5 linked regions of the Bombyx mori genome follow. The protein of the gene in region 1 interacts with the protein of each later gene in a pairwise test. Links are inferred from orthologs where the notes say so. Each region holds a gene or a part of one and is shown in the gene's direction. Other genes may lie near its edges.

Region 1 (5,772 bases):
TTTATGACCTGGTAACTAAGACCTTTAAGTCATGTCTTATTTTAATTGAAATTCTTATTTTTATGAAAAATGTTAATATGGAGTGAATGAAATGAAATGAAGATAATTAATTTGAGACATTAATCAACTGGGATGAAATTAAATGAAATGTAATCTCAGTAAAATGGTGGTCATTTATTGAGATTTTTTCAGTGGACTTTTTGGAGGATCCCGAGAAGTTACATCCAGCGACTTTGTTCTATTTTCCCACATTTGTGCACTTTCACAGATATTAAACAGTTAATAAACCACCATTATTACACATTTCAACCCGAAGAAACACTAAATAGACCAAATAAAACAAATCACACAACTTCAGTCCTCGCGTTCCAGCTAAAAAGTCTAGGTATGTATGTCCATGGAGTTCCAATTACGAAGTCCCATTTAACAGATATCAAATACTAGTAAATACCGCTTTATTCGATACTCGACGATATTGATCTTCGATTACTTTAACGAACAAATTAAAATCGTATTGACAGAAAAAGGATTAGCATCCAATAATAAAACTTTGTTTTTTAAATTTAGTTAGATAATATTACATGATATTTTTATCAAGATGGAACTTATTCATCATCAATAGCCGAAATCGATATTTCTATACAGGCGTTTTTTTTTATCCTACCTAAGCTGATAGCCTTGAGATGCTATTTCAGCGTCGCCTTAGCTAGTAGGTGAGCTCATGGGGCTCAAGCCTGATGACGTTGCTAATACGAACCCTAGCAAGAGCCGTGCTTCGCAGAATCTACCGCCGGATCGGAAACGCGACCCACTGAGAAGATCCGGCGAGAAACTCAGTGGGCTGATCTAAGGTTTAATTTACTCGTCGAGCCCTTCGTCGCAAGCGACGGGTTCGACGAGAACGGTGACCGGTGCTTGAGTAAAAGCACCGTTAGTGGATCGGGAAAATCCGAAATGACGTGTTTGGGGCGACGTCGACTGCTTTCCATTCTTTCCGCAGGATCGGGAATGTAGTTACCGGCGGCCACGATGAGAGGGTTCTCGTGTCGTGCCGCTTTATCGAAGTGGCGCATCGACGCCGACTGCAAATACTTATTGATGGACTCTAAGGCCAGGTCGTCATGGAGGTCGACGTTCCTGACGAACCACGGGGCTCCGACGGGTATCCCGCAAAAACGGGATTGAATAACTTGGAATGATTTTAAGCGAGTGCGGGCCGCGTGAGCGAACACTACACTTGCATGACGGGGCGTATGCAAGTTTTGTAGAGCGTCACCTTATTTCTAAGGGACATTTTACTTCGCCTGCATATCATCGAGTAGAGGCGTCCTAGTGTGAAGGCGGGGGCGGAATGTCACCCTCGACAGAAGGATACCTAGTCGGGAGTGGGATTCAGGCGATAAAAACACAAGGTATTTATTATAATTTGGTTATCTATGATGGTATCGATATGTGTGTCTCTGTTCCAATCAGCGAAAAACTAATTTTTTGTTCGTAAAACCTAACCTTCCTAATTCGCGGCAGTAGCACTATCACAAGCTTTTTGCAACAATGACAGCATTTTGTTTGCAGTAAATGGTGGGCTCAGTGGTGGATTTACACTAGGGGCAGTCGCGTAGTCGGGGCAAGTGCCCAGTGCGGCAATTTTTTAGGGCGGCAAAATTTTGGAAGTAAAATTTTTGAAATTAATTCTATTAATTAATCATTTTCTGTTTAATTGATAATACAAAAAATTGAATTCATCCATTATTTGTGAATTATAATTTTGGCACTTTAGGTAAAAATTCATAATCAAAATTATTTAGTCAATTTATTTCCTTGAACATTTAAAATAATAATCGATTTTTCCATTTTCTGGACTTAAAGAAATTTAATTTTTTTTTTCATTTAATATTTATGAGTCACCCTTAGTGCAAAATTTATAATTGTTAGAAAAAAAACAAATATTTATTTATGTTTTTGGAATATATAACATATGATAAAGTTTCTGCAAGAAATTACTTATTTAATTTTGAAAAAAATAGTTATAAACTATAATTTTTGGTAAAATTCCAGTATTGGGGCGGATTTTTTGCCCAGGAGCGGAGTCTAAATCCGGCCCTAAGTGGGTCGATATTTTTACGAGCCGCAATCTAAAATAAAGGTTTACGTGTTAATATAGCAACAGATAAAATATTAAAATAGGTAAAAATAAATTATTAAATACATTTATTTAAATCCTTACCTTTAATTTGCGCCCAAATAGATTCTATGGCATTGCATTGACAATAGTAGGGTGGAAGGCGCATTACATTGTGTCCGGCTTCCTTAGCCATTTCGTCCAATACCTATTTTGGTCTTACAATTTTCGTTAACACGGAGTCATTCCTAAGTCGCAAAAGTAATTTTAATTGTGGTATCTTCATTTGCAAAAAAAGATAAAAGAGAGATTAATTGCATTTTAAAAACAGCTCATAAATATTTGTGTAATTTTTTTGAAACATTTAATTAGACTGAATTTCGGCTATCGTCGTAATTAAGACCCGTTTTTACTGCTAAAATTAAATTAATATTAAATGTCAACAGCAACACTATTAACTTCCTACAGCAGAAAAGAAAAAAAAGTGAATCGATTATTTTCATTTTTTATCTGTAGTCTATACTACAATTTTGTCGACCGCTCTGAAATTAAGGGACGCTATTTCGCGCTTTTTCATTTATTTTTATTGTAATTTCGTTCTAGTTTTAGCTCGATTATAAGTAAAATCTATCGCCCAACATTAAGAATAGCCCTTGATTGAAGCTCGGCTCATAAATCGAGTTATTTTTGTAGAAAATGTCAGGGATAGCAAGTGCACGTTTAGCTGAAGAACGGAAAGCTTGGCGTAAGGACCATCCCTTTGTAAGTTTTTGTTTGTTGAAAACACATTGATTTATGTTTTCGTAAATAAATAAGCTATTCATCTATTTCAGGGTTTTGTCGCGAGGCCTATGAAGAATCCAGATGGTTCATTGAATTTAATGACTTGGGAATGTGCGATACCTGGTAAAAAGGGGGTTAGTATTTCTATATCGTGAAAACTTCTTGTTTCTTATTGATGCAGTTTTAAAGTTATTGAGTTTAAGCATAGTAAATTACGGTAGTAGAAGTTCTAAAACTATAACCGGTTTTTCTTTTTAGACTCCATGGGAAGGTGGGCTGTATAAACTACGTATGATCTTCAAAGATGATTATCCATCAAGTCCTCCAAAATGCAAATTTGAACCACCACTGTTCCACCCCAATGTGTATCCATCAGGTACGGTGTGCTTGTCACTGCTTGATGAAGAAAAAGATTGGCGTCCAGCAATCACAATAAAGCAAATTTTGTTGGGTATTCAAGATCTTCTCAATGAGCCTAACGTAAAAGATCCAGCGCAAGCTGAAGCCTACACAATTTATTGGTAAGTTAAACATAAACATTTTCAATACCCGTATTGCATTTAAAGAACTGTTATGTTTTATAATGTTTAATTTTGTAAAAATTGAATTTTTTTGTAATATATGTATTTGTTATATTACTGAAAATATATCACGAAACTATCCACATATTGTGATACTAATATTTAATTACTGTGACCTACAAAACTTGTATGCCTCAATATTAAATAAAATTTTATTGTTACAGTCAAAATCGGCTAGAGTATGACAAGCGAGTAAGAGCGCAGGCACGTGCAATGGCTGCTGCTGAGTAAATATCAGAATGGGACAATGGAGCGTTAATGAGCTAAGCCATTGCCTAAAAAGCAGTATAAATGTGAAGACAGGAGATTAAAACAGCAACACTACGCTATTTTGGAGATTGTGCTATAACATTATCTTCATGGTATTTTCCAGTTCCAAAAGTATTTAATCCACACAGTACGCAGTGATGGTTTAAACTATAGATTTAAGTAATTTTGAAGTAAATGCAAGTTTTTAATAACAGACCAAATCAACACTATGCTAATGTTAGTTATTTTAATTCTGGAAAATTTTGAAGCCATTATGAATTCATCATTTTATGGCTAACTTGTATTTATTTATTTGTTAAGTTAATAACAGAAATGTTAACAAGCAAAAAGCATCAAAGATTTTAATTACAACCGAATATACAAACATGTTGCTGTAATTCTCAAAATATACGGTTACATTTCGAATCTATGTTATTTTAAAATATTTTTGTATCTTATGTTAGACTTAATGAACAATAAATATTTAAATTCTACAATTTACTGTGTATTTTTAAGTTAAAATTTTTTCAGATTATTTTCACAATCATTCACTATTCAAAGTCAGCGCTTTCTAATCAGCCGTTCAGAGTAACTATTTGGAAAACAAATAATTCATAACTTTATTTATTTATCAAAATGGTTAGTTGACATCAGATATTTCATTTCACATGCTGATATTCATTAAAGTTGGGAGTTAAACAAATATTTGTTTTATTCCAGCTTAAACGCAATCATTATTTAGTTTGATGACAGATATAATTAAAAATTAGCTACAAAAACCTCCATCTAGTAGTGAATAGGCACCTCAAAATACAAAAGGTGAGAGACAGGCGAACTATACGATCACGACCCAACTAGTTTTAAGTAATAACTGAAACTATTTAATATGGTATTTTCTATTATTAGAACCCATTGAACTTGCCAAATAATGCCAGGACTAACTTAGAGATATGAGTTCGAAGACTTGATTTTGTTATACGAGTTTAAGGGACGCCCACCCCATAGATTATACACTTAATAACCCATTTTCAAATCAACAACCAATTAGTCCTTTTCCGCAATTTCGAATATGCGACGGTCCCTCAACATATCGCCGCGCACTAAAATGCAGTTTTCTAGACAGTGTGGGTCAACGAACTCGCAGCCTACCTGGTGTTAATTGGTCATCGGAGCCCATAGACATGAACATCGTAAATGCTACTACCCACTTTCAGACATGAGTACTGTCGTAAAAAGTACCCTTTGAATCGTAATGCATTATTGCTTCTCGGCAGAATTAGGCGGGGTGGTGGTATCTACCTGTGAGGGCTCACAAGACGCCCTACCCACAATCCACAAGTAATTACGCAAATTATATTTTTTGCGAGTTTGATATTATTATACGATGTTAATCCTCTTCATCGAGGAAGCCAATCGTGAACATTTTTGAAATAAGTTTTTCATCAGAAAAATTGGTACCGCATACGGTCGTATTATCCCGCAGGCCATGACGACTTTAAAATTATAAAAAATGACCAGCTATACGTAGCTGACGACATAGAGCCTGACAAATTATAATAAATACATAAAAAATTATGGTTGACGCTCGCCTAGTGCCCACCAGTCAAATACCTACAGTCCGCGCGCGAGCTCCGAGGATTCGTGGGCTGAGGAAGCGGGCGGGCGTGCACCGCGCCCGACCGTCGCTTCATACCCCGCACTCTCCCACTACTAGTGTCGACCTTAACATGAGAGTGCGCTTACTGACTCGTTGTTTTTAATTTTGCGATAGCAATGTTAATTACGTGTGTTTTTAGTATAGTCTTACACTTATAAGTATTGTTGTTTGCAAGCTATATAATTTGATGAGAAAGGAATGGCGAGCACTAGCATAATAACCATGTCTTAGTATTAGAGGAATATTACTAGCAAAAGGATGGCTTAATGGAGGATGTTGTCGAATCATTTATTATTGAAGTACGTGAGGAGAGTGACATCAAGAGGAGAGTACATCAAATTCTTCAACTACTGATTAATCTGATTGCGAGAGTAATTAATAAG
Region 2 (6,030 bases), on another chromosome or scaffold:
AACAGAACGGGTTTGCTGCGACCAGTCCAGCACCGCAACCTAGTCCTCTTCAGCACCAGAGCCAACCACAGCCACCTCAGCAGCAACAACAACAACAGCAGCAGCAGGGTAACAAGTCATTTTCTTTTTGAAAGAATTCAAAACTGCAACTTCACTCACACGGCTGATTTGCTAGACACCACGTGAATTAACATAGTGAATAAAGCAGTAAATTTCATGGAAATGCTGAAAAATCTGACTCTTAAAAAAAAATATTGCTTAGATTGGTGGACGAGCTCACAGACCACTTGGTGTTAAGTGGTTACTGGAGCCCATAGACATCTACGACGTAAATGCGCTACCCGCTATGAGATATAAGTTCTAAGGTCTCAGTATAGTTACAACAGCTGCCCCACCCTTCAAACCGAAACGCATTACTGCTTCACGGCAGAAATAGGCAGGGTGGTGGTAATCAAATCAAATCAACATATCTAATTTGACTGGTGGTAGGACCTCTTGTGAGTCCGCGCGGGTAGGTACCACCACCCCGCTTATTTCTGCCGTGAAGCAATAACGCGTTTCGGTTTGAAGGGTGGGGCGGCCGTTGTAACTATACTTGAGACTTTAGAACTTATATCTCAAGGTGGGTGGCGCATTTACGTCGTAGATGTCTATGGGCTCCAGTAACCACTTAACACCAGGTGGGCTGTGAGTTCGTCTACCCATCTAAGCAATAAAAAAATTAAAAAATATATATATATTTTAATTATAATTTGTATTGAGTAATTTTCCATAACCATGTGGTAGATGCTGTATATATATAACACGACGTTGCTGTAACAGGAACGTGGACGGGTAACAACACGCTGACGTACACGCAGAGCCTGGCCCCGCCCCCCGCCGCGCCGCCCCTGCCCCTCGACGCCCCCGCACATCACCACCACTACTGTAAGTGGCATTGACTGCTGAAACTGCGACACGAGTGGTAGAGGGTGTATTGTGAGCCTGCAACAGAAAGAAACATCATGATAATTTTTCCTTTGAAGCGGTCCTGCTTCCTGATTTGATGACCCGGACGCTGATATTAATACAAATGAGAACTGACCTTATGTCGTTAAGTAACTAGCTGCATAGAGTTTGAAATGTGTATGACTTCCAGTAAGATACTAAGACTCATTTGCGGCTAGATAATACAAGAAAAGACAACAAATCCGTTTAAAAAACAATTGCAACAATATATAACAATATCACATTGAACAGTCAAAAATTTAAATTTTTTTTTCATTGTAACATGACACGGTTACGTGTGAAAGATAAAAAAATACTCCCAGAGCCCCAAACAAGAAAAAAAAACTCAGTCCAATTGGGAATTCATACTGAGTCCATTGTTTGTGCACTCGGATATACAAACTTCTTGACCAACAGTCTAGACAGTTTAATATACATGTCATTAGATACTCGAGTTTTAAAATAAATAATGTAATAAATAATTCAAAAAGGAATTACGTTTTATTGGTTTTTGCATAAAATATTTTTAAACGATGCTTATTTGATATATACATTATTTAAATTACAAAATGTATATTTATAATGAACTGGAAAAGTATAAATTTTACTAATCTAACAGTGTTACCAATTTGTTGTATGATTTGTTTTTGCAGTCAATGGCAACCCCGGTGGCTTACTCTCAAGTCAACCAGCGCCCGAATACTGGTGCTCTGTTGCGTATTTTGAACTTGACACACAAGTAGGAGAAACATTCAAAGTACCTTCCAGTAGACCCAATGTTACTGTGAGTAGAAAATAATGTCTATTTATCATTGATATCAACAATATAGAAGGTGGTTTATCGGGGTCATTGGCTATGGTCCAATTTTGATCATTGGGCAAACACTGGTACACATTAGATAAACTTTGTACATTGTATGCAGATGAAAACAAGGTATGTACATGCACTCAAACTCTTAATGCCAAAAATTTTGGTCTCGAACTTGGATATCACAGACCAATACCCATCAAACTGATGAATGTATAAAATTATCATAATAAAGAATATCATTACAACTAACAGATTTGTGATTGCCTCTACAATGAGCAAAGCCTGTTGAGGTCCGTTGTCATATTATTATCTAAATGTCATATTTAATATTCATTGACATTTTACCCAACCTACATGCTAATAAATTTTCAGCAATTGTAAGATATGCACAGATACAAAACTCAACAATTTTATGACATTTATTTGATATTACTAGACATTCACATTTTGGAGTTTTAAGTTCGAATAATGTTTTTTTAATTTACAGGTGGACGGTTACGTTGATCCTTCAGGTGGGAACAGGTTCTGTTTAGGTGCTCTCAGTAATGTCCACAGAACGGAACAAAGTGAACGGGCAAGGTGATTTTCTTTTATATAGATAGACAAATGTATAAATGCAATAGAAAAATATATCCGATAAGTTATTAGTATTCATTACAGTTTTCTATATGTCGATTATTTAATATTTTATTTATATTTGGGTATACTCTGTGGCTGAATGTTATTGTTTTATTACTACAATCTCAGTAAATGACCACCATTTTACTGAGATTATATTTCATCCCATATCATTTTTCATAAAAATAAGGATATAAATTAAAATAAGACATGACCATGGTCTTAGTTACCAGGTCATAAATTTTCTTAAAAAAATAGTTCTACACTGCCGGTGACACCCATCCATGCGGACTTGCAATATAAGCTGTAGTTTAATTGTCTTTTTGGATTCTATAGACTATTTTCTGATCGACCTTACGACCTTTAAAAGACATTTTTTTTTTATTAAAATTAACACTCTGATTCCAGACTACACATAGGCAAAGGCGTTCAGTTAGATTTGCGCGGTGAGGGTGACGTGTGGCTTCGATGTTTGTCGGATCATTCGGTCTTCGTACAATCATATTATTTGGATCGGGAGGCTGGCAGAGCCCCTGGGGATGCTGTTCACAAGATATACCCATCGGCTTGTATAAAGGTAATTGAGAAATCTGGTTTTTGTAATGGCCTATTTGTACTGGAGTAAACATTGGCATGGAAAGGCGGCCAGGATAGGGTGACCATTTCTTAAAAAAAATAGACATTAAGTTAGGTGCCTAAAGGGGAACGAACTGTCAATAAAAAAGATGTGTGGTGGGGTGGGACACAGGATAGGAACGAATTTCCTTATTATAAAAATATTAATTTTAAGTTCTATTCGAGGTATAAAGAAAACAATTATTTGGGTATACTTCTTTTATTATGATATTTTTATTGATAAAAAAAAAACTACTTTACAAAGTTATCAACTTTATTTTATTCACAATGATTTATAAAAAATATATAATATTAATGTACAGAGAAACAGCTATTTATATGAATAATAATAATAACCGCCATCACGTAGACTATTATCATGTATTAGATACTGTATAGCTATCATACTAAGACTATACATAAATAATAAAAATCTTATGTTACAGAGGCTCTTTCCCGGTTAGGGTAAGGAACTTCGTTCCAAAAAAATGCACTATTTTTGTGTGCACTACTGTTTTAACTTCGCCATTATTGCTTTATTTTTAAAGTTAATTTTGTATGAAAATTTGCATAAAGATAATTTTGTAATCTTTGTATATGAGTAATACTAGATGTGACGCGTTTATTGTATAGTGTTTGTTACGTACAAACATTTCAGGTGTTCGACTTGAGGCAGTGCCACCGACAGATGCAGTCGCAGGCCGCCACCGCGCAGGCCGCCGCCGCCGCGCAGGCCGCCGCCGTCGCCGGACACATTCAGCCGCAACACCCCACCATGAATAAGTGTATGCAACGCCGCAATCATCATTAACTCGTGCTTCCTTCCGTGTTTACTGGTGGTAGGACCTCTTGTGAGTCCGTGCGGGTAGGTACCACCACCCTGCCTGTTTCTGCCGTGAAGCAGTAATGCGTTTCGGTTTGAAGGGTGGGGCAGCCGTTGTAACTATGTCTGAGACATTAGAACTTATATCTCAAGGTGGGTGGCGCATTTACGTTGTAGATGTCTATGGGCTCCAGTAACCATTTAACACCAGGTGGGCGGTGAGCTCCTCCACCCATCTTAGCAATAAAAAAAATCCATATACCATAACTCAGAACATCAACTTCATGTTTCGGAGTGACCTAAGAGCTTGAGTAACCGCTTAAGGTAAGGTAGACACTGACCTCATTTGGTTACCCGATAATAAAAAGCTAGCTATCAATATTCTTCAATCATACACTAGCAAAACTATACTTATTAAAAGAAGATTAATGTCTTAAGGTGGGCGACCTCGTTCGTCATGTGGTGTTTATTTTCTATCAGCCCACCGATGTCCACTGCTGGACATAGGCTTCCCCCAAGCCTCGCCACAAAGATCGGTGACCCTTGGAGAGCGCGTCGATGCCGTATCGAAAGCACTGTGTTGAAGCGCTTTTATGACAGCAATCTCAGTAAATTGTAGATCTGCAAGTTGCGTCCGGTTCAAGCGAGGGAGCTTACCCAAGAAACGATATACATACTCCAGAATGCGGAGTAGCTTGGACCAAGAAGACACTCGCTTGGCCAGCGTACAGAGAAAGGGTTAATTTTTCTAATTGTGCAATCACTTATGCTAATAACAACAAAAATTATACTGGCATTGTTCACCACATACCTAAATTTTGGCAAGGAAATAAAAAATCATCAATTTGAATTTGCTAATTATGGACATTATATATATTGATATCTTTTGACAGGTCTAACTGCGGCCGCCGGTATAGGAGTGGACGATTTGCGACGCCTGTGTATCGTGAGGCTCTCGTTTGTGAAGGGTTGGGGCCCTGATTACCCTCGAACCTCGATCAAGGAGACGCCTTGCTGGGTTGAAGTGCATTTACATAGGTAATTCTCAATAACGAACTATTCTCTTACTAATAATTCTTTAATCTGTTATATACAATCCAGTGACATTTTATGAACCATACATATACACGCTGATTAAATTTGTTTTTTTTAAGGGATTTTATGACCTGGTAACTAAGACCTTTAGGTCAAGTCTTATTTTAATTTTAATGATACGATATTTTTATATGAAAATGATATTATGAATGAAAATGAAATGAAGTTGATTATTATGAAACATGGCATGAAGTGAAATGAAAACGAAATGAAATGGCATGACATGAGATGATATGAGATGAAGTATAATCTCAGTAAAATGGTGGTCATTTACTGAGACTTTTTCAGTGGACTTTTTGGAAGATCCCGAAAAGTTACGTTCAGGGCTTTGTTTCATTTTCCCACATTTGTGCACTTTCACAGATACTAAACAGTTAATAAACCACCACTATTACACAATTAAATCTGAAGAAACACTAACTAGACAAAATAAAACAAATCACACAACTTCACTCCTCGTGTTCCCGCCAAAAAGTCCGATTAAATTTGTTGAAACAAAAGCTAACCTCAAAATCAAAGTCTACTCAAAAATGTATGTTAAAGGGCTTAAACTTCATGTTAGACAGAGAGGAAAATATATTAAATGATGACGTCATTGTGATGTGAAATAAATTGGACAACACTTGCTGTATGTGAAAGGGACAGATCCCTTATGAATGATGACAATGAGTGTTTATTTATTATGATGTTTCCACAGAGCACTTCAGCTCCTCGACGAGGTACTGCACACGATGCCCATCGACGGTCCCCGGTCGACCATCGAGTAGGAGTTGATCGGCTTCTTTTGAGGCCTTCGAGCGAATGTCGCGCAACTGTCGCGCGACTCAAATGTGCAAGTTTGTTTCCGGACGACTTTGTGTCGCGTTCACGTGTAAAGGAATATAAAGTGTTGGTGTTGTGAGATGTACAGTTTTGTGATCGTTGAAAACCGTTTAGTGTTGGTTTAATTTTGTTGCGTTTTTGTTTTTTTTGTGGTGTGTTACAACGGAAATTGTATGCATCGTAATGTGAAGATTTGTACGGTTTGAGTAAATCTCTTAAATTACCAAGTGCATACATACAGCGTGTTGCATAGCAATAG
Region 3 (6,642 bases), on another chromosome or scaffold:
ACCTACACGTCTAGGAACACTAAATTGAACAATACAATATTTAGGAACACAACAAGCGGTAGCTGAAACTATGCGCCCACGCAATGAACTTATTTCGGGCACTTCCGCATGAATTCGAATTTGAGACCAACCGTTCGTCGCATACCAACCAGGTCACAACTAGTGTCAAAATGAATTTAATAAAAGTATTGTAGGTTCTTTTCCCTTTTATTTACATAATATATTGGTGAGGTATAATTTTACGCATAATACTTTTTTCACTAGGTACTTAAAAATTTTGTAATAGCAAATCCTCGAATAAGACCATAACATAAAGACGACTATTTCCTGATCATCCTTTCGAAGCAACATCGTATTTCACCATTTGATTCCCTAATTCTTAATCAGTTATGCGTTCCGCTTTAAAAGATGCGAGTAGAGCAGCCGTTACACAATTCAAACTTCGAACTTATGAAGTGGCGGCAACCACGTCATGATTTCTTTGTACTTCGGTAACTACATTACGCCGAATAGGCTGCGAGCTCGTCTGTAACTCTAGAACAGTTTAGTCCTTTTTCTATTTGGTCAGCGAATTAAAACTCCTTAGACACGATTTTAAAATATACGAGGAAATCAAAATATATGTTATATATTTTATTTAAATAACTTAATTAACAAAAATAGAGAGAAAAATACAAATTTAGCAATGCCAAAATTCATTTGATTTTTAAATTTGGGTTATTATTTAAAAAATTGTATTTTTTGTAATTTCACTTAATTTATCTCGACTAAAGCCAAAAATTTCAAATTACAACTTTTTGAACTGTTCTTCAAACGGTTTTGATCTTTCACTCTGACTTTCCCAAAAAGGTTTAGAATCGCTTGATTAGAATTAGTTTCTTAGGTTTACGCTTTAATAGCGCATTTTCGAATAATTTAGTTTTCGTAATCACGGACAACTGATTAAAAAATGTTGATTAGAAGTATGTACTTAGTTGGTGTACTGGGGCCATTATTGGATAGCCCGCCTTCCGAAATTACGAATACTAATTAGTTGACTCCACTTTTTATTAAAAATATATGAGTTATTTAATTCTAATTAATATACTTATATTCACTTTACTTATTATTAACATAATTATTATATTATTATGGCAGAAAAGGATGCACATAATGTATCATGACGTCATTTAGCCTTTAGCTACGAACATTCGAGATAGCGAGATATTTCCCCTACGCACCCACTCTTTCTTGTGCCCATTTTTAAAACGTTATTTGCTATTTTTTCGACTAATTTCGTTAAAACAAAAAAGTATTCATTTAATATGATTTAAGTATTGTTACGTAAATACTAATGTTCGCAAATATAGGAAACTTCTCTATACAGACGCGGACGTCCGGCCGGCGTGCTTCCGGCAATCGTCAGCAGCATATTTCGTACGATCTGCAGAGTTATGTCATGTACAAAGTTTATGTCCACTGTACCATCCTTGCACGCACTCGAAAGATTTTGATAGAAACCGCGTATCAAATGGAGTGTGATAATAATCCGCTTGCTTGTCTGCCAGTTTAATTAAGTGTACGTTAACGTACCCACATTATGTACTTCCGAAAATTAGGTTTAGCTTGAACAATATTTAGGGAAATAGTTCCTATCCAAAAATCGATAATATTTAACCTAAACGTGTATGTAACCACAAATAAATTGATGTCCGCGGTCACGGTCAAACAACATTGGTCGTCTTTATTCTTTAAATTACTGCACATAACTCCACGAAGACCGTCTGCGTGCCGCCGTAGCAGTAATACGCGCTAATGCGCCAGAGCGAGACGAAAGCACTAGGGAGCGAGACGCGGGCGAAGGGAGCAACAGGTAAAGATTCCGAGGCCACTTCCGTCTTGGCTGCCGAATATTTCTGTCTCGAACCGGTAGTGGGACGACAGCCAGGGCACACATAATCTCAACCCACACACACTATACACATACAGGCATATGAGTAATTTCTACACTTTCGTCTGCTCTAGCCTTTAGCAAAACCTATGTATTGAAAAAAGATAAACTTACAACACAGTTGCATACAGAATATTATATACATTCTTACGTAATTATATCAAATATGGGCTATTCGTTCTTATGTTATAGTTCTATGATACATAATTCACATGATTTCAATTTTTGACAACCACCAGAACTTGTAAATTAAAAACAATCAGTATTGCTTTGTTACCAAAGAGTGACTGTAAAATATTGTGAGCTCAGTTCAAACCGGTTAGCATTCGTATTGTCTTACTCAGAACCAGGAAACTGTCGACCGAGACATTTCCTGTGCTTTGTCGAATGAATATTTTCCAAGACGCCGTTTACTGATATGTAAAAACATAGAAAAAAATGAGTTTTAATTGTTTATTCATTTAGATAGTAACAAGTCCGAAAACCTAATGTAAATTAATATCTAATTGAAAAACAAGTCCGGTGCCCGCAACGCTTTACAATGTCACATAGGTATACACAAGGAAATATTGAGAGTTATTAAAAACTGGTGTGCTGACGTAATTCTAATATGTACTAGTATTTCTGCGTGCCTTATACTAACAAATAAAACACAAAGAATGTATCTTCTTTTTACACGGATCTATACAAAATATTATTATTCTACTGCCGTATTTGATAATTATAATTTCTTGTAAAACGACTGATTTTAGAGCATCACTCGGCGCCAAGTCCGATAACGAGTTGCGGAAACATTGCTCGTATGTTTAGTTAAAATGGGACTTGGTCTAGCTACCAAAGTTTTATCTCAGCATGTGAGGTGGCGCGGAGTGATGAGGTATGCGGGGGGAACGGCAGCCGTGCATCCGTCCGCCCGCGCCGCCCTCAGCCGCCGCATCATCAGTCCGCGTCGAAGAGCCGTTCGAAACGCTCGCTTGCGAGTTCGTTCCCTCAGATACGCTGCTGGTTTACGGCGTGCCGTAACACGACACGTTTGGAGGGATCACCGCCGTTACGCGTGTGTCTGGTGCTCTGTGTACACTGAATTCTGTGCTAACTTTTGTGATGATAATGTACGTGTACTGAGTTGTCCAGTTTCTGTTTTCAACAAGGATTTTGACAACGCAACCAGTTCCGGATCAGCTTAGCCGGTGAGTAGCGGTGCTTATCGCAAACTGTGCTATCGTGGACTCACGCATTTCCGACCGCGCCCGATAAGGCGACTGTATAGTGCCTAATAATATGGAATTCGAATCCGGTCAAGATCTTCAATATTGTGAACGTATTTCAAATATCGCAATGAATTGTCAACCCTCCGCTGTTTTATGTAATCTGCGATAAAATAAACAAAATAGGCTTTTTCACACTCTGTGAACTTTTTAAGTTAGTGAATCGACAAAAACTGTACAGAAAACTGCTTTCACATGAATGGTCCAACGGATAAAGCTCGATTGAAAGAGGGTGTCGTCTCGTCGCATACCTACCTACAACCCTAAACAATACTAAAGCAGCAGGTGGCTGTACTTCATTCATAGTTGACACGGGATATTGTTCTTTAAATTGTCATATCAAATCATGTTTTTGTCATATACTTTTCCCTCATCGAAGTTTCAAGTTTAATTTGATTATACTTATAGCTCGATGTTTGTTTTAGTAAATAGTCTTATAAAGGCTATTTATTCGTAATAATACTTCAACTGCTTTACTGACGGGTTATCTCATAAAGATAACTTTTGTAACTTCTTATTTACAATCTTTAAATAATTATGTGTTTATCATTTTTTTTAAAAAACGTTAGTCACGTCAACCTTAGAATAATATTAAGCGAATACCGAGAAATAAGCTTAGACTTTTTTTGATTGATTACTTGGGAGTGATTTGAAATGCTTTTGTCCGTGACATAGACGTGTCAAGACAGGTAAAAAAAACATGATTTTTCCTTAAAATTGCCACAGGCGATACTAGTGAGTTTAAAAAAATGTGCCAATAGCTAATAATTTCATTTAATTTAAATACCCAATAAAATAAAAAAATACAAACCTACCACCTAGTACCATTGTTGACAGTATCGGTGTAACCACAATATTTTAAAATAATAATGTTTCGATAATATTAAAATGTCAACTAAAAATGACGCATAATTTATAACGTTATTTAATCGTAAAAACAAAATACAACACTACAGATGCAACACAAAGAATAAATGAACCTGTTCGTCTATTGGTTAAATTAATCAAACATTATTATTTTATAATCTAACAATTATTTCTAGTAACAGCGACATCTGTGATCAAATAGCGAACATTAAAACGAACTCTTGAAAATCATAATAATATACAGAATACTAACACAAAGTCAATCCTAATGTGAAAATTTGTTTCAGATTAACGTAATGAAAGTTGTAAGCTTACAACTGCCGTCTGGGCCCAGTATGGAGCGGCTACCGCTACCATTCAGTCCAACAGAACTATTATGGCGTTACCCACTACCCTGGGCGCCACCGCCTCCTTCACCGCTTGGTGACACCAAGGCGCAACTGCCAGCCGGTCTTCCGCCAGAACCAAGACTATGGACCAGAGAGGATGTTTCTGTATTTCTGAAATGGTGTGAAAGAGAATTCGATCTACCTAATTTTGATATGGACCTCTTTCAAATGAACGGTATGCATCATGCTTGCTTATGATAACTTTATTTACCTGCATAATATGCAATTCTAAAATAAGTCGATTTCTTGCTTTAATGTTAAGCTAAATAATGACAACCAACAAACGCACTTACTTATATTATGAAACTTTGAATGAAAAATTTGGTTATTTCATTACATTTTTTTTCTTTGTTGACAGGTAAAGCATTATGCTTGCTTACTAAAACAGATTTGGGTGAAAGGTGTCCTGGAGCAGGCGATGTCTTACATAATGTTCTTCAAATGCTTGTACGCGACGCAGCGCTGTTAGGTAGAGTTCCTTCCTCACCTGTTACTCCCACCGCTCGTGCGGCACCGTATCCGCCCTCTCCCCACTCTCATCCACCGACACCAACTTGGACTGTTGATGGTTTCCACCATTTCCACAGCGCTGCAGCAGCAGCAGCAGCTCAACCTAATTCAGTGACTCTCAGTCCTGCTCCATCAGTTGATAGTTCTGGAAGTCCTCAAAGAGGAGACACTGTAACTTATGCGCCAGCGTATGCACCGTCCGTGCCCCCCACTACTCAAGCTGCCAGTTCCGGAAGTAATCATTCAGATTCCGATGAAGAGGGTCAATACGCTCCACCTCCACGTTCTCCTAAAGAAGCTCCAATAACGAGTCCAGCCCCGCAAAATCATCCAACACAACAACATCCTCATTACCGCGCTCAACATAGGGAATTTTTTCCAAATGATATGCCAGAGTCCAATACAAGTACGTATAAATAAAAATTTGTTTCAAAATAAACATAAAACCTTCATCAATATTTATGTATACTTTGTTTTCTTGTAGATGGAAGACTATTGTGGGACTTCTTACAACAACTTCTGAATGACCCAACGCAAAGATACACAAACTATATTGCATGGAAGAACAGAGACACTGGCGTGTTTAAAATTGTTGATCCTGCTGGACTAGCCAAATTGTGGGGAATTCAAAAAAATCACCTATCCATGAACTACGACAAAATGTCCCGCGCCCTGAGATATTATTACCGTGTTAATATTTTGCGCAAAGTCCAGGGCGAAAGACACTGTTACCAGTAAGTACCAGTATTCCAAATGCCAGTATTAAAAATCTTGCAAGAAAATAAGAACTAACCAAAAACATTCTTAATTTACAGGTTCTTAAGAAACCCAACAGAATTGAAAAATATCAAAAACATATCTCTACTGCGACAACAAATGAGTCCCACTCGCGTTGTACCACAAACTTTGGTAAAAACCGAAATGAAAGAAGAAAGATGTGACGAAGAAACAGTCGATGAAGAAATGCCTACAGATTTGAGTATGTCTGCATCAGAGCCTTGGCGGAAACGCGCACGCTCTGACACAGCGACCGCACCGCCGTCGTCAACGCAACATGACAAACATCGGATCAGTACGCTTATCGGAGATAACATGATAATGAAACGCGAAGTCGACTACAGTGCTGAGCATTATGCCTTAAATTTAAAAAGTGAAAAATGTGAACAGTAATCTTATTGAGATAGACTAAGGACACAACTAAAGTGTGACAAAGTTCAATAATAATTGTGGAACCAATTTGTTACATTAACTCGTCTTTTTCCACATAGACAAGATTTAGTCTTCCGGAAGAAAAAAATATCGACGATAACTGCGAACAGTTCGTCGTAGTGTGTTAATACAGTTAACAGGGTACGGACCTTTAAACAATGCCTTTGTGCCAAGTGATTTATTATGCATAAAAGTGTCAATTAACTAACTAGTAAAAGAAATGAGAGATTATTTTATATCGAAGTCATAGGAACTATATTTTAAGATTGTGCAATGTATTAAAACGCCATTTCAAGACCCGCAGTTTTTAAAAATGTCGCTGAAATCAATGTTGGTACTTGTGCATTGCACGCATTGCATTTGTGTAATTTTAATATTATTTTCAAGTATAATTCGCAAACAGAATTCTAGTTGATTTGATTAAAAGAGCTGAAAATATTAGTCATATATGTCTTCCATTGATTCTTGG
Region 4 (4,917 bases), on another chromosome or scaffold:
CTAATTCCGACCGAAGCATTTGTTTTAAACGATATTCAGTTTTTTTACATCCTCTTTTACCATATTTGCAGCACGCGTTCTGTCAATGCTATGTCAAATGCCTTATGATTTACATTAGAAAACCATTAGAAAATTTAATACGGTGGTTATTTACCTTTACATTACGCAGTTCATTTTAACATAAATAAGATTACAATTCAAAAATCGGTGTATGTGCGGTGTCATAGAATAGCAGCACCGCCCCATCTCATCCCATGGGTGTTGTAAAGGTTGTCTAAGGATGGTTCAACGGAGAATGGTTAAGTGTTTTTTAGTAGGTATCATACCAAACTGACCTATGATCGTTAACTGGCGTTCCCTGGGTTGGTTGTGGGGCCGTGAGCTCGTTCACCTATCTACGCAAAAAAATGTAGTTTGCGTATTAATTGGGACATTAAGCTCACATCGAATATGTAAGAGAGCACTGGTAAGTAAAATAATTATATTATTTATTTTAGCAGTAAAACATTAATGGGGTTTGGTGGTTTGAAAGATGTTTATAGAATACAATTTGAATTTCGAGCTCTGCCCATATCCCAGGTGTTGTTATTCATATCTTAGCTTGTGCCTATATAGTTTGTGTTTGTGTCAGCCGCTTACGTACCTGCCTATCTGTTCACCTGTGCCCCAGATATTACTTGAGCTCCTGTGCTACTCTAGAGTTCGAACAAAATGTAATTTTTATCAATCATAGAATTAAAATTTTTAATATATACATTTTAAGTATTATTATATAATATTTATAATATTTACATTTGTCCGAGCCGTAGCACAGTACGGATCTCTCCGGAACGTTGTTACGCTCCTCGTGAAATATACGCAGTTCTCGTGAAGTTTTAAGTATTAATTAAGATCTGAGGTCGAGACTTATCTAGGTTGGATTAACCAGGAGCCGAAGAGCGCATGATCAGAATTGTATCATTTTCACAGTTCGATGTCGCTTCAAATTTAGTATCTGTTAACGTACCTATATAAAAAGTGAAACAAAATCTGTGGACGTGACTTTTCGAGGTCTTCCAAAAAGGTTTTGGAAGTACCTAGTACATTTCTATATGTAGCAAACGCCACCAGTTGCTGTAGAGTAATTCCATAATCCACAATAATTCCTTTGAAGTTTCAATAAATTTTCACAATATGACAGGTCATTTTAATTTAATCACAGCTAATTTAAATTAAACAGTTAAAGGTGTGACTTTCATTTGGTTTAGTTCTTTAGGCTATATTCCCTTTGCCTGTTTAATTGAACAAGTGGAATTAAAAAAAAAGTTTAACAGATAACCTAAGAAAAATAATCACACATTTATTGCTAGGTATGCCTCTTTAAACAGAATATTCACAAAAAAATATGAACCAATAACAAAATGCGTGATACTTGTTTATCGAATTGTGAAAAGAATTTCATACAAAAGATCGTATCTCAAGGACATGTAAGTTGAAACTAATAGAATATAACCTAAGACTCTTCTACAAAAGTAATTTGGAAATAAATTGATTACAGCGCTTGGACGGTCGAAATTTTAATGAAACCCGAAAACTAGATATATCATTTGGTTCTGAATATGGTTGCTGTATTGTGTCTTTGGGAGAAACGAAGTAAGTTGGAACTGAATCACTAACAAATTGTAAATAAACAAAGTAAATGAAGCAGTATATACTGTTATTTTTGTATTTAAACAGCGTTTATTGGATAGATAGAACAATTGAAGGATATAGAGAAACAAATTCAGTAGACCTGTCTTGTATTCTTAGATTGATTTATTTTGTTATTAATTTAACCACATCTTGAAAATGTTAAAATGATATTATGTAAATAAACTTGAATGAAAAGTAAAAAATCGTTAACATAAAAGAATACTATCACAGAATATTGGATAGAAATTTTGCAATACAATTAACTGACTTCATGTCTTAAAGTGAGTGTCTTTGTGATCTGTGAACCAGCACAGCAACAAGGAAATGCTCCATTGCTCATTAATTAACAGTTTTCAGATATGATGAATAAGAGAATAACACCTAAACTTTAAATGAATTTGTCCTAAAATTGCTAAAGCCTTATGAGCTACTTACTTATTTATGAACTTGACCTAAAGGGTAATATTAAGCTATCAATATTAAATGACTACTATCTTAAAATTACATTGGTGTGGGATCCCTAGTGCCCAATGAGATCTGTAGAATATGAAAAATTGTTTTCATTGGTGGCATTCACTGGAGTTGGGGGACATGGGTAACTAAAAAGTAAATTACTCAATTTCAGGATCCTATCAGAAGTCACATGTGAAGTCGCTCAGCCAAAACAAATAAGACCAAATGAAGGCATCATATTTATTAATGTTGAACTTAATCCTATGGCCGCTCCACAGTTTGAAGCCAATAGACAAACAGATCTCACTGTTTATCTTGTAAGATTATTAGAAAAATGTTACAAAGATTCAAAATGCATAGACCTGGAATCACTCTGCATTGTAGTAGAAGAAAAGGTAAATTTAAAAAAATCTTACCTTAATAGATCTAGATGTAAGCAATTCTGTATGCCATATGGACAGAATTATTTCACACTATGATGTTTTCCTGTTTTGTAATTATTTCCACTATTAATTTAAAATATTTCTAAAGTATTTATTTCCAAACTCTAGATAACATTTGTAGTAACTTTTAAATATCTGAAGATAGGCTGCAATGTAGGCAGTGGGTGTGGTGTCTTCCGTCTAGCCTATTTCTGACCAAAGTGCTTCTACAATGCTTCTGTTTTAAAATGAGCCCTCAATCTCATGTCTCATGGTGAGTGGTGCCATTCACATTATTTCTATGGAGTGGGGTAAGTATTTTATATGTTAGGCCAGGGATTCTGGTTGTGAAATCATAAATTAACTCAATTTTGGAGGTTGATGAGCTCTAAAAACCGACCCTCTACTAATTAAAACAACTTCTTCTTTGGATGTTAGTATTTTGTATCAATAGAAAAAAACTACAAGGCTTTTTAAAGTTATTCAGAGGGTCTGAGTTATCAGTTCATTTTGGAAAAAAGGGTTATCTTGCCAAAAATAGTTTTTGTGTAGCTTCATGCTATAATAAATGGAATCAGAAACTACTACTTACTATTCTTACATATATAACAGTTTTTATAAATTATCAAAGTAGTTTACAAACTAAGTTTTAACAAATATGTAATTACATTATTGACCGCAGTAAACAAAAATTTTATGTTTAAATTTCAGGTTTGGTCTTTAAGAATTAATATTAAAGTTCTAAACCATGATGGTAACTTAACTGAATGTGCAAGTATAGCTACACTTGCCTCAATAGCACACTTTAGGAGACCTGACTTTACAAGAGATGGTGACCGAGTGATTATTCACACATTAACTGAGAAAGACCCAATACCAACAGTTTTGTATCATTATCCTGTGTGTACAACTTTTGCATTGTACAGTAATGAGTAAGTTTTGAGAAATTACAAATGTTCTTTTGTATTGATTAATTAGAAGGCTCGAATAAGATGTAGAATTGCTGTCTGCTGAACCATGCCAATCAAAAAGAATGACTACTTTTTAGCAACACATGTTTAATCTGACTTAGAAGATTAAAACATTGTGTGAGCTAGATATTAAAGCTTACATTTTTATTTATTTCAGTATCTTACTCACCGATCCTAATTTCCTGGAAGAATCAGTGTGTACAAGTAATACAGAGGAAGGCATCAACACTGCAGGAGGCCTCCTGGTTTTGGGAATGAATCAATATAGAGAAGTATGTTTACTTGATTTGACAGGAGCTGCAATATACACATCTAATATAGTTCATAAAGCGCTTCTGAGTGCTGCAGACAAATGTAAAAAATATGTGGAAATTATAAAAAATGCCGTTGCCAAGGATGACAACTTGAGGTGATTCATTTAATTATTTATGTATTTTTTGTAAGAGGGGAAATACGGTTTATTATTATAAAATTTGGTTAAATTGTCCTCCAAGTGTTTACTGAGGAAATTACCCGATCTTGTGTACCGAATGGTAAACAGTCGACGTCGCCCTAAACACGTCATTTCGGTTTTTGAGGTATCTTAAGCACCGCACCATTCACCGCCCTCGCCTGAACTCGTAGCTTGCAACGAAGGGCTCGGGGAGTAAATTAACCCACAGATACTACTGCACTGAGATTCTCACTGGATCTTCTCAGTGGGTGGCGTTTCCGATCTGGTGGTAGATTCTGCGAAGCACTGCTCTTGCCAGGGCCAGTGTTTGCAACTCCGGTTTGAGCCCCGCGAGCTCACCTACATGCTAGGGTAATGCTGATATAGCCTCTCAAGGCTAACGGCATAGATAGAAAAAAAACCCAGGAAAGCAGGTTTAAAGCCAATTTGGTCCCTATACCTTACTAGATCCATAGTCCTCGTACACTATGAGTTATTACTTGTGCTTCGGTAACTAGTTATCATTAGCTAATCCATGATCATAAATCAATATATGGTTATTCAAAAATATAATACTTTTTTTTTGTGTTCATTTTATTTAATTTACTGTCCCTAGTCTGTAATTAAGGTTAATGTGAGTATAGCCACATGAAATGAAATGTCAAAGCATGTTAAAGCATTATTTATGAAGCAGAAACAAGGAATAAAATTTTTGTTTCGATAGAAAAATGTTATACATGAGTCGTCTATTATCAAAGGTGGCAATCTGTGCATTTGGACAATTTTTTTTTATTGATATGTCAATTCAGATTGATTTGAATATAATCGTCTCCTTCAAAGAATACGGTTCAAAACCTGCATTAAATAAAGGTTAATAGTTAACCTGTTATTTATCTAAGATGTCGTTCCAAAGAGTTTTGTGACTGCCAATGGAATACAAAGTCAATAATTCGTTTTTCTGATTTAC
Region 5 (6,666 bases), on another chromosome or scaffold:
CAACAACGTCTGGAACGGTCAAGCAAATCCAAAACATAATGCAAAACAAACTTCCTCATGTGCAAACAGTTTTCATAGCTACAGACGCATCGGCCAAAGAAAGAGAAATACTCCAGAATAATCTAGAAACTTTAGGTTATAACGTACATTATTATGTACCTAATATAGCTGAAGTTACCGAATTTGATGATGGTACTATTGCGATATTAGAACAAATAATTTGTTCACATGCTGCCTTCTTTGTGGGCACACATGAAAGTACCTTTACATTCCGAATACAAGAGGAAAGGGAGTTATTAGGGTTTCCTAGTGATACTACGTTCAATAGGCTGTGCCCCGACAAAGGCAATTGCGAAAAGCCATCCCGTTGGACTGTAGTGAATTAAATAATGTGATCAGGATTCATAGATGATAGTAAAACTTAAAAACTATGTTAGAGTAAACAAAGCTTCTACATAAATATATGTAAAAAAAATGAAATATGATTCTCACTATTATAGATACATTATATTTTAAATTCAGATAAGTTAAAAAAACAAAAATGTACAAGGCAAGAATGAGTACAGCTGGACTTTAAATTCTCTGAATATACTTGTAAATCAACCCTGACTACTGGTGACAAGGTATATAGTTAGTCCGTACAAGTATATACCACCATCCAGTTTAATTCTGTAGCCAAACAGTCATCTGGTCTATTTTGAAGTAGGATATTATCATAATACAATACAATAGAACTTTGATTTAATATTGTGACACTGACTTTTCGTTGTTAGGTCTTTAATTTTTATACATAACACTACACCGGGTAGGTTGTGAGCTCGTTCACCCATATAGGCAATAAAACAAGTATATTATGCAGTTTTGAATTCATTATTATAAATTAGAATAGAACAAAGACCTATGTTAGATTATTTAATGATGCATCAACCGTCACTTCTATAATGTATCGGTGCACAGTTCAATGGTGTACCGTTTCAAGGAATATCTCTAGATTCCATGTGGTGACTTGCTTGATAGATAACCCTGGAGGCAGTGTACTTTATATTCTGTTTCATAAAAATGTTACTTCAATTGTTTTTAAGACAGATGTAATGTTTGAGACGCTAAAAAATGTTTCATGTGATATTTATGTAATTAATACCAAAGATTAAATTATCAACTTTTTTATTAGTTTTATTTTCTGTTTTGCTATTGATAGTACTTATATACGAAGGTCGTCCACCATCTCCTATATACATCAGCAATTCCAGAAGCAAGATAACACTCTTGCTTATCCGTCGGACTCTTAATCAAACCTCTTTTAAATAATATACAGAAATTTCATAGCACTCTGAACGTGGGGCCCTAAAGAGTTTAGAAATGAGTTGATTTTTATAAACTTAATAGTGAAATAAATGTAATGTTCTACATATGCACATTTTATTTTAATTTAGGACCCAAGGTAAAACTGCTATATTGGCATGATAGTGTAGTTACGTTAGGTAAAATAGATCGTGTGGCGCCGCGTGTTGTAGTGTTGACCGCGGGAACCCCCCTACTCTGACCGGGTTTTGACCCCGGATGGAGATCGGACGTCGGGTGTAAGAGTGCAGGGGAGTTGTTTAGTGGGTGGGCACTAAAGTTCCTTGGGCCTGTCTGCTCTCAACACCTGCAGATCGTTGAGTCTCACCTACCCCGCGCGGCACCTAGGCGCGGGGACCTCATAGGAGGTACGGCCCTAGGCTCGAAAAAAAATAATGTAAAATACGATCTATTTTACTTTTTTTTTTTGGCGCAGGACCGATTAGAGTGCGGAGGCTTCAATCTCAGCGGTCCTTGCTGGAGGCGTAGTCTACTGAACCCGTCCGCCGGTCTTCGGACAGTGGAGGCGGTGCACCCAGTCCTCGCGAACTGGTTAAACGGCGACCGAAGGTTTCTCACCTTCCGCTTGACAAAAGTGCTCATCGGTCAGTGGTGTTCCGGCCGGTACCTGCACCGCGTCGCCCTGAGAGAACCAACGATGGAGTGCCTCTACTGTGGCTACAACAATCGAGCACACACGCACTGCCCCGCGTGGCTGGGGCAGTGCCGTATCCTCGTTTCGCAAATAAAACCAGACTTATCGCAGCAGACGATCATAGCTACGATACACGGCACCGGCGAGTCCTGAAAAGCGATGCTCGGCTTCTGCGAGTCCACTATCTCGCAGAAGGAAGCACCGGAACGACAGAGGAAGAGCTCTCCGCACCAGTTCGTTGCCGCCGAGCCAGGGCCTCGAGAAGGCAATTCGCCCGGCTCCGGCCCCGCTAGGAGGCAACCCCGTTCTTTCCGTGAAGGACTTCAGGGGTTAAGACCGCATGGTCTGCTACATGCACTCTTCTAGCGCGCCGCATGACAGCAATTCTACGGTTCTATGGAAGTGCTGCGGAAGATCAAGCGATTTACGGTGTATGGTCTTCCGACCCAGCAGGTTGGTTCAGGTCCAGCAGGGTGTGTCGGCGGCCTGCAGGACTGCCTTATCGAGACGACCGATGTAGAGTCGTCGACTAGCGCCTGGACGGTCCGTCGGTCGGACTCCCTACTTTTCAGTGTGGCAATTGGCTTCTGGCTGTACAGTTTGCTGTGGAGGCTATTTTTGAAAAAATATTATTTTTTTATAAAAAGTAGAAAACCGGAGCGGAATTAGGTGAACTTGGTTTATTTTAAATCGTAATAATTCAGGGTGAAATTAAATAGAATAGAATGAAATGAGACGAAATGAAAGAAATAATTTCTCAATAAAATGACACACTTATGCGCTTTTACAGATGTAAAACTTTTAATAAATTACCTTTATAATTTTATTAAACTTGAAGTTATGCAAAATTAACAACATTAAACTATTTACACAACTGTGACTATAATATATTATATTCCCGCCAAAAAGCTGCGAAATTCCTCTAACCTGACTGTCGTCGTAATGTAGGTAGGTCGGAAATTCTATGATCCAAAACTATCTTTTTAAATATTCGTTCTGCCGTTTTATAGCAATTAATTTATAATAACAAATACAAAAATGTATTTAATCTTTTAAAAATCGGTAAAATATTTTATTAGAAAATAAACGGACTATATAAAATAAGTTTCTGAACGAAAGTAAACATTGATTTTTTTGAATTTTCAAAATGATTTGTTTACATACATACAAAATCGAAAATCGGGTTTTTAATAAATTTTAATTGAGACATAACATAACTATTGTTTATTTCGACAACAAAGTACAAAATTATGTAATACTTATTACAATAGAACGCTTAAAGAGTCCAGATAATTCCAGAATAATGTATAAGCCAATAGATTTCACGAGCAACGGTAAGTTTTTTTATATAAAGATAACTTAAAAAATATTAAATTAAATTAGTGAGAATCATATTAATATTTCGTTTGTTGGGTTTGTCAGAATTTCTTAAGTTAAAAGGCATAACCTCTACTTTTTCCTTTTTATGAATACAATATGCAATTCGATTAAATATGTTCTCAATTTTCAATAACAATTCCATTATATTCCTAGAAGTATGTACCTGTAAAAGTTATTACACGATGAGTTGTTGAAATTAAAATAATGTTTTATATTCGAGCACTAATGATCAATGCAAAATTAAATTTTCAGATGTATTTGATGTTTGGGTAAGTTTTTAAATTAAAAAAAAACAAGTTAAGCCAAAGAACCAAAGACGTAATATCCACGTTTTTATATTTCTCAATATATAATGGTTATCATATCAGATCCTACTAAAATGAAATTTGATTATATTTATTTTGATTACAAACTAAAAAAATTTATTTTTTATTTTTCAAACACAAGTATTTTCATTTGCTATATTGTTTGTCCATGTTTCTGTTAATATTTACTCTTAATGTAAATTCTATCAATGAATCATAAATAACTAAAGTATTTAAAATTGATGATGACGTATGAGTTTGCAAGAAAATCTGTATAATGCAATTTGGTGTACTCCTCATTTATGGACATATCACCTTTTATCATAGTCAGCTTGGTCCACCAGATTTTAAGTAACTCTTTACTACTAAAGCTACTAGTACCATAAAAATGTTAACTGCTCGAATGAACGAGGTAAATCAAAGTAAATCGTTGAAGCTTTGAACTGAAAACAATAGAAGAAAATGCTGTGCGAACTTAGTCGGATATAATAAGTAATTATGAGTTTACTACGGCTTGCTACTACTCAAGGATTTCAGTTGCCATCTTCTACAGTGAGAATATTTTGTAGGTAATTTAGATTAAAAAAAAAAACTGAATTTGTTACACAAAAACATGAACCTGTCAAATAATAACAATAATAAACATTTTTTTCCGAGCATAAATTACAAAAATTAAAGCAACAAAAAATAAATATACATATAAATGGAAAAGATTACTACCGGCTGGGATATGCATAAGAGCAGCTACTCAATTACTAATGCAGTGCCGAGCGTCCGCCGGCAGCACCGGAGTGACATGCCTATCAACATCAGACCGAACGACCATTTATTGCAGTATATCAATAGTTTTCTTGCTTCAAATATCTATAATTATTGTATCAATGCTCAACGGAATAAAAAAAACTACTGATAAGCCTCCTATGACTTAGTAGATACATTCCGACAAGTTTGGGGTTGTGCATAACCAATAATCATATGAGAGAGACTAGAAGCCAGTACAAAAAGGAGGGTAATTTTTCTGAATGAAATATCTCAACTATGCCTGTATGTATTTTGTTTACCTATCTTTATATATCGTCCTTTCGCATTAAATGTGTACAATTTCCAAAAATATTCGAAATTGAGTTAATATGCGGAATCATTTGGCATCACCAGTATTTTTCTCATAAATACTGTCAAAAGAGCGTAGTTTAGTTATTTTTTATTTATTTTTAGTTTACCTATATTTAGACTACCATTAACAAAATTAATACATAATTTTATGTTACTTTAAAAGGCAGATAATGTAACTGTTAAAAAATAAATGTTGCAAAGATGATTAATATTAAAAATATCACATGTTAAACCTTTAAAACACTCTCCTGTAAAATTTGTAAGTTTTGAGATTTGAGATACAGTTGGCTATGACCTTCACGAGAGATGGAAAGTCATCGATCATGTGGCCAGGGGACAACCCTTTAAAATCTAAAAGAAGCTAAGTTTGTGAGGATAGCCCACGTCATTACGGATCCTCCCGATCCATTAACGGTGCTTTTAAGTACCACAAGCACCGTTCACCGTTCCCGTCGAACCCGTCGCTTGCAACGAAGGGCTCGACGAGTGAATTAACCCATAGACACTGCCCACTGAGTTTCTCACCGGATTTTCTCAGTGGGTTGGGTTTCCGATCCGGTGGTAGATTCTGCGAAGCACTGCTCTTGCTACACTCCCGGTTAAAGCCCCGTGAGCACACCTACACGTCAAGCAGAAGCTGAAGTAGCCTCTCAAGGCTGTCAGCATAGGTAGGAAAAAAAGATGATAGTTGTTAATTCAAAAACTATGAATACATTTCTTCGATCAATAATACTACTAGATTCGCGATTAGCGCTTCAAAAGCGGCCCGAAAAATAAGACCACAAATAAATTTGTGGTCTTATTTCAAATTAGTATGGTCCAATCATAGCCAACACTAAGACGTCAAAACGCTGCAATGCGCGTTCAAAAACTGAGTAAAAAACCACCGTAACACCAAGGTTTTGGAAGGAATATCTTTTTTTGGTAAATTTATATTATTAAGTGTTTTTCATAAAATAATAAACACAATTATATTGTAAATAAAACACAATTTACGAATATTGTAATTGTTTGGCCAATGTTTGCAACAAGGCACCAACTATTGTAACAAACATCACCTATTCTTGGACAGGGAATGCATAGAGTAGTTTTGTTATTTTATAATGTTATTTTTGTTTGTAGATTTCCTAGTAGCCCCTTGTCGCTGTGCACAATGGATATATATTGTCGCGAAAGAAAGAGGAGAAGAAATATAGAACTCTTATAAAAATTCTAGAATTGTTCAATGGTGGTGGCAAATCAATGCAAAAAAGTATTAAAAAAACTTTATATGTATGTGTAAATATTTTAAGCGTATATGCTGAAAAGGATTTGTTTTCTGGGGGAAACGAACACAGCCATAAAATAAGCCTAAATTAAACTGATTATAGAAAAATTCATTGATATAAGATTACATTATATTTGTAAAAAAGAAACCGCTCATATAAAAATGACTTCTAAAAGACAGCTTTATAACAAACTGAATCTGTTTAAAGTTAATTAAACCTACATTATTGTTTTAATTACTTCTGTATAAAGAATACGTGGAAAACATGTTTCGTGTTTCCTTTCATATTTTTTTTACTTTATTCAATTTTATTTTTTATCACCTATTTGTTGTAATAGCGGCAATGTAAAATATTATCTACTACTTTTTTGAATCGGTCAAAAATAGTTGCGACCATACAAAACAAACCTAAAACAAATATGTATATTCTGCAACTCTATGTCTTTCAATACTTACTGTGTTCTGAGCATTGAAATGTAATACCAAGAACTACATCTAGTTTCACAATACAATAAGCACGAAATTTTAAACAAATATTTTTAACCTTATAAATTAGGCTTTAAGTATCATTTTAGAATAAATATTTTTGTACTGATGACTTTTTA

What was found.
Region 2: the proteins of ubiquitin-conjugating enzyme E2 (region 1) and mothers against decapentaplegic homolog 4 interact in binary tests that used the Homo sapiens proteins (3 or more experiments, as listed by UniProt). The link is inferred for Bombyx mori from reciprocal best matches to the Homo sapiens genes UBE2I and SMAD4.
Region 3: the proteins of ubiquitin-conjugating enzyme E2 (region 1) and BmEts2 interact in a two-hybrid assay, tested with the Homo sapiens proteins (2 studies listed by BioGRID and IntAct, with this or other methods). The link is inferred for Bombyx mori from reciprocal best matches to the Homo sapiens genes UBE2I and ETV6.
Region 4: the proteins of ubiquitin-conjugating enzyme E2 (region 1) and exosome complex component RRP45 interact in a two-hybrid assay, tested with the Homo sapiens proteins (2 studies listed by BioGRID and IntAct). The link is inferred for Bombyx mori from reciprocal best matches to the Homo sapiens genes UBE2I and EXOSC9.
Region 5: the proteins of ubiquitin-conjugating enzyme E2 (region 1) and double-stranded RNA-specific editase Adar interact in a two-hybrid assay, tested with the Homo sapiens proteins (2 studies listed by BioGRID and IntAct). The link is inferred for Bombyx mori from reciprocal best matches to the Homo sapiens genes UBE2I and ADARB1.

What each region holds. Positions count from the first base shown.
Region 1 is NC_085114.1:7,030,363-7,036,134, forward strand, and holds ubiquitin-conjugating enzyme E2, read left to right. Parts: upstream 1-2,648; 5' UTR 2,649-2,815; coding exon 2,816-2,881; intron 2,882-2,952; coding exon 2,953-3,036; intron 3,037-3,160; coding exon 3,161-3,423; intron 3,424-3,647; coding exon 3,648-3,714; 3' UTR 3,715-4,225; downstream 4,226-5,772. UniProt on the Homo sapiens protein: Accepts the ubiquitin-like proteins SUMO1, SUMO2, SUMO3, SUMO4 and SUMO1P1/SUMO5 from the UBLE1A-UBLE1B E1 complex and catalyzes their covalent attachment to other proteins with the help of an E3 ligase such as RANBP2, CBX4 and ZNF451.
Region 2 is NC_085113.1:9,079,588-9,085,617, reverse strand, and holds part of mothers against decapentaplegic homolog 4, read left to right. Parts: coding exon 1-108; intron 109-822; coding exon 823-927; intron 928-1,640; coding exon 1,641-1,771; intron 1,772-2,285; coding exon 2,286-2,377; intron 2,378-2,824; coding exon 2,825-2,993; intron 2,994-3,689; coding exon 3,690-3,816; intron 3,817-4,747; coding exon 4,748-4,892; intron 4,893-5,646; coding exon 5,647-5,716; 3' UTR 5,717-6,030. UniProt on the Homo sapiens protein: In muscle physiology, plays a central role in the balance between atrophy and hypertrophy. When recruited by MSTN, promotes atrophy response via phosphorylated SMAD2/4.
Region 3 is NC_085119.1:10,452,140-10,458,781, reverse strand, and holds BmEts2 (ets DNA-binding protein pokkuri-like), read left to right. Parts: upstream 1-3,080; 5' UTR 3,081-3,120; intron 3,121-4,352; 5' UTR 4,353-4,361; coding exon 4,362-4,629; intron 4,630-4,812; coding exon 4,813-5,370; intron 5,371-5,448; coding exon 5,449-5,698; intron 5,699-5,779; coding exon 5,780-6,134; downstream 6,135-6,642. UniProt on the Homo sapiens protein: Transcriptional repressor; binds to the DNA sequence 5'-CCGGAAGT-3'. Plays a role in hematopoiesis and malignant transformation.
Region 4 is NC_085119.1:13,152,281-13,157,197, reverse strand, and holds part of exosome complex component RRP45, read left to right. Parts: intron 1-2; exon of another isoform or gene 3-71; 5' UTR 72-466; intron 467-643; exon of another isoform or gene 644-695; intron 696-792; exon of another isoform or gene 793-883; intron 884-1,006; exon of another isoform or gene 1,007-1,237; intron 1,238-1,349; 5' UTR 1,350-1,400; coding exon 1,401-1,466; intron 1,467-1,537; coding exon 1,538-1,632; intron 1,633-2,296; coding exon 2,297-2,519; intron 2,520-3,257; coding exon 3,258-3,478; intron 3,479-3,674; coding exon 3,675-3,926; intron 3,927-4,917. UniProt on the Homo sapiens protein: Non-catalytic component of the RNA exosome complex which has 3'->5' exoribonuclease activity and participates in a multitude of cellular RNA processing and degradation events.
Region 5 is NC_085130.1:18,135,546-18,142,211, reverse strand, and holds the start of double-stranded RNA-specific editase Adar, read left to right. Parts: upstream 1-3,028; 5' UTR 3,029-3,299; coding exon 3,300-3,330; intron 3,331-3,628; coding exon 3,629-3,645; intron 3,646-6,666. Other genes in the region: pofut2 (protein O-fucosyltransferase 2 precursor), read left to right, coding at 1-386. UniProt on the Homo sapiens protein: Catalyzes the hydrolytic deamination of adenosine to inosine in double-stranded RNA (dsRNA) referred to as A-to-I RNA editing.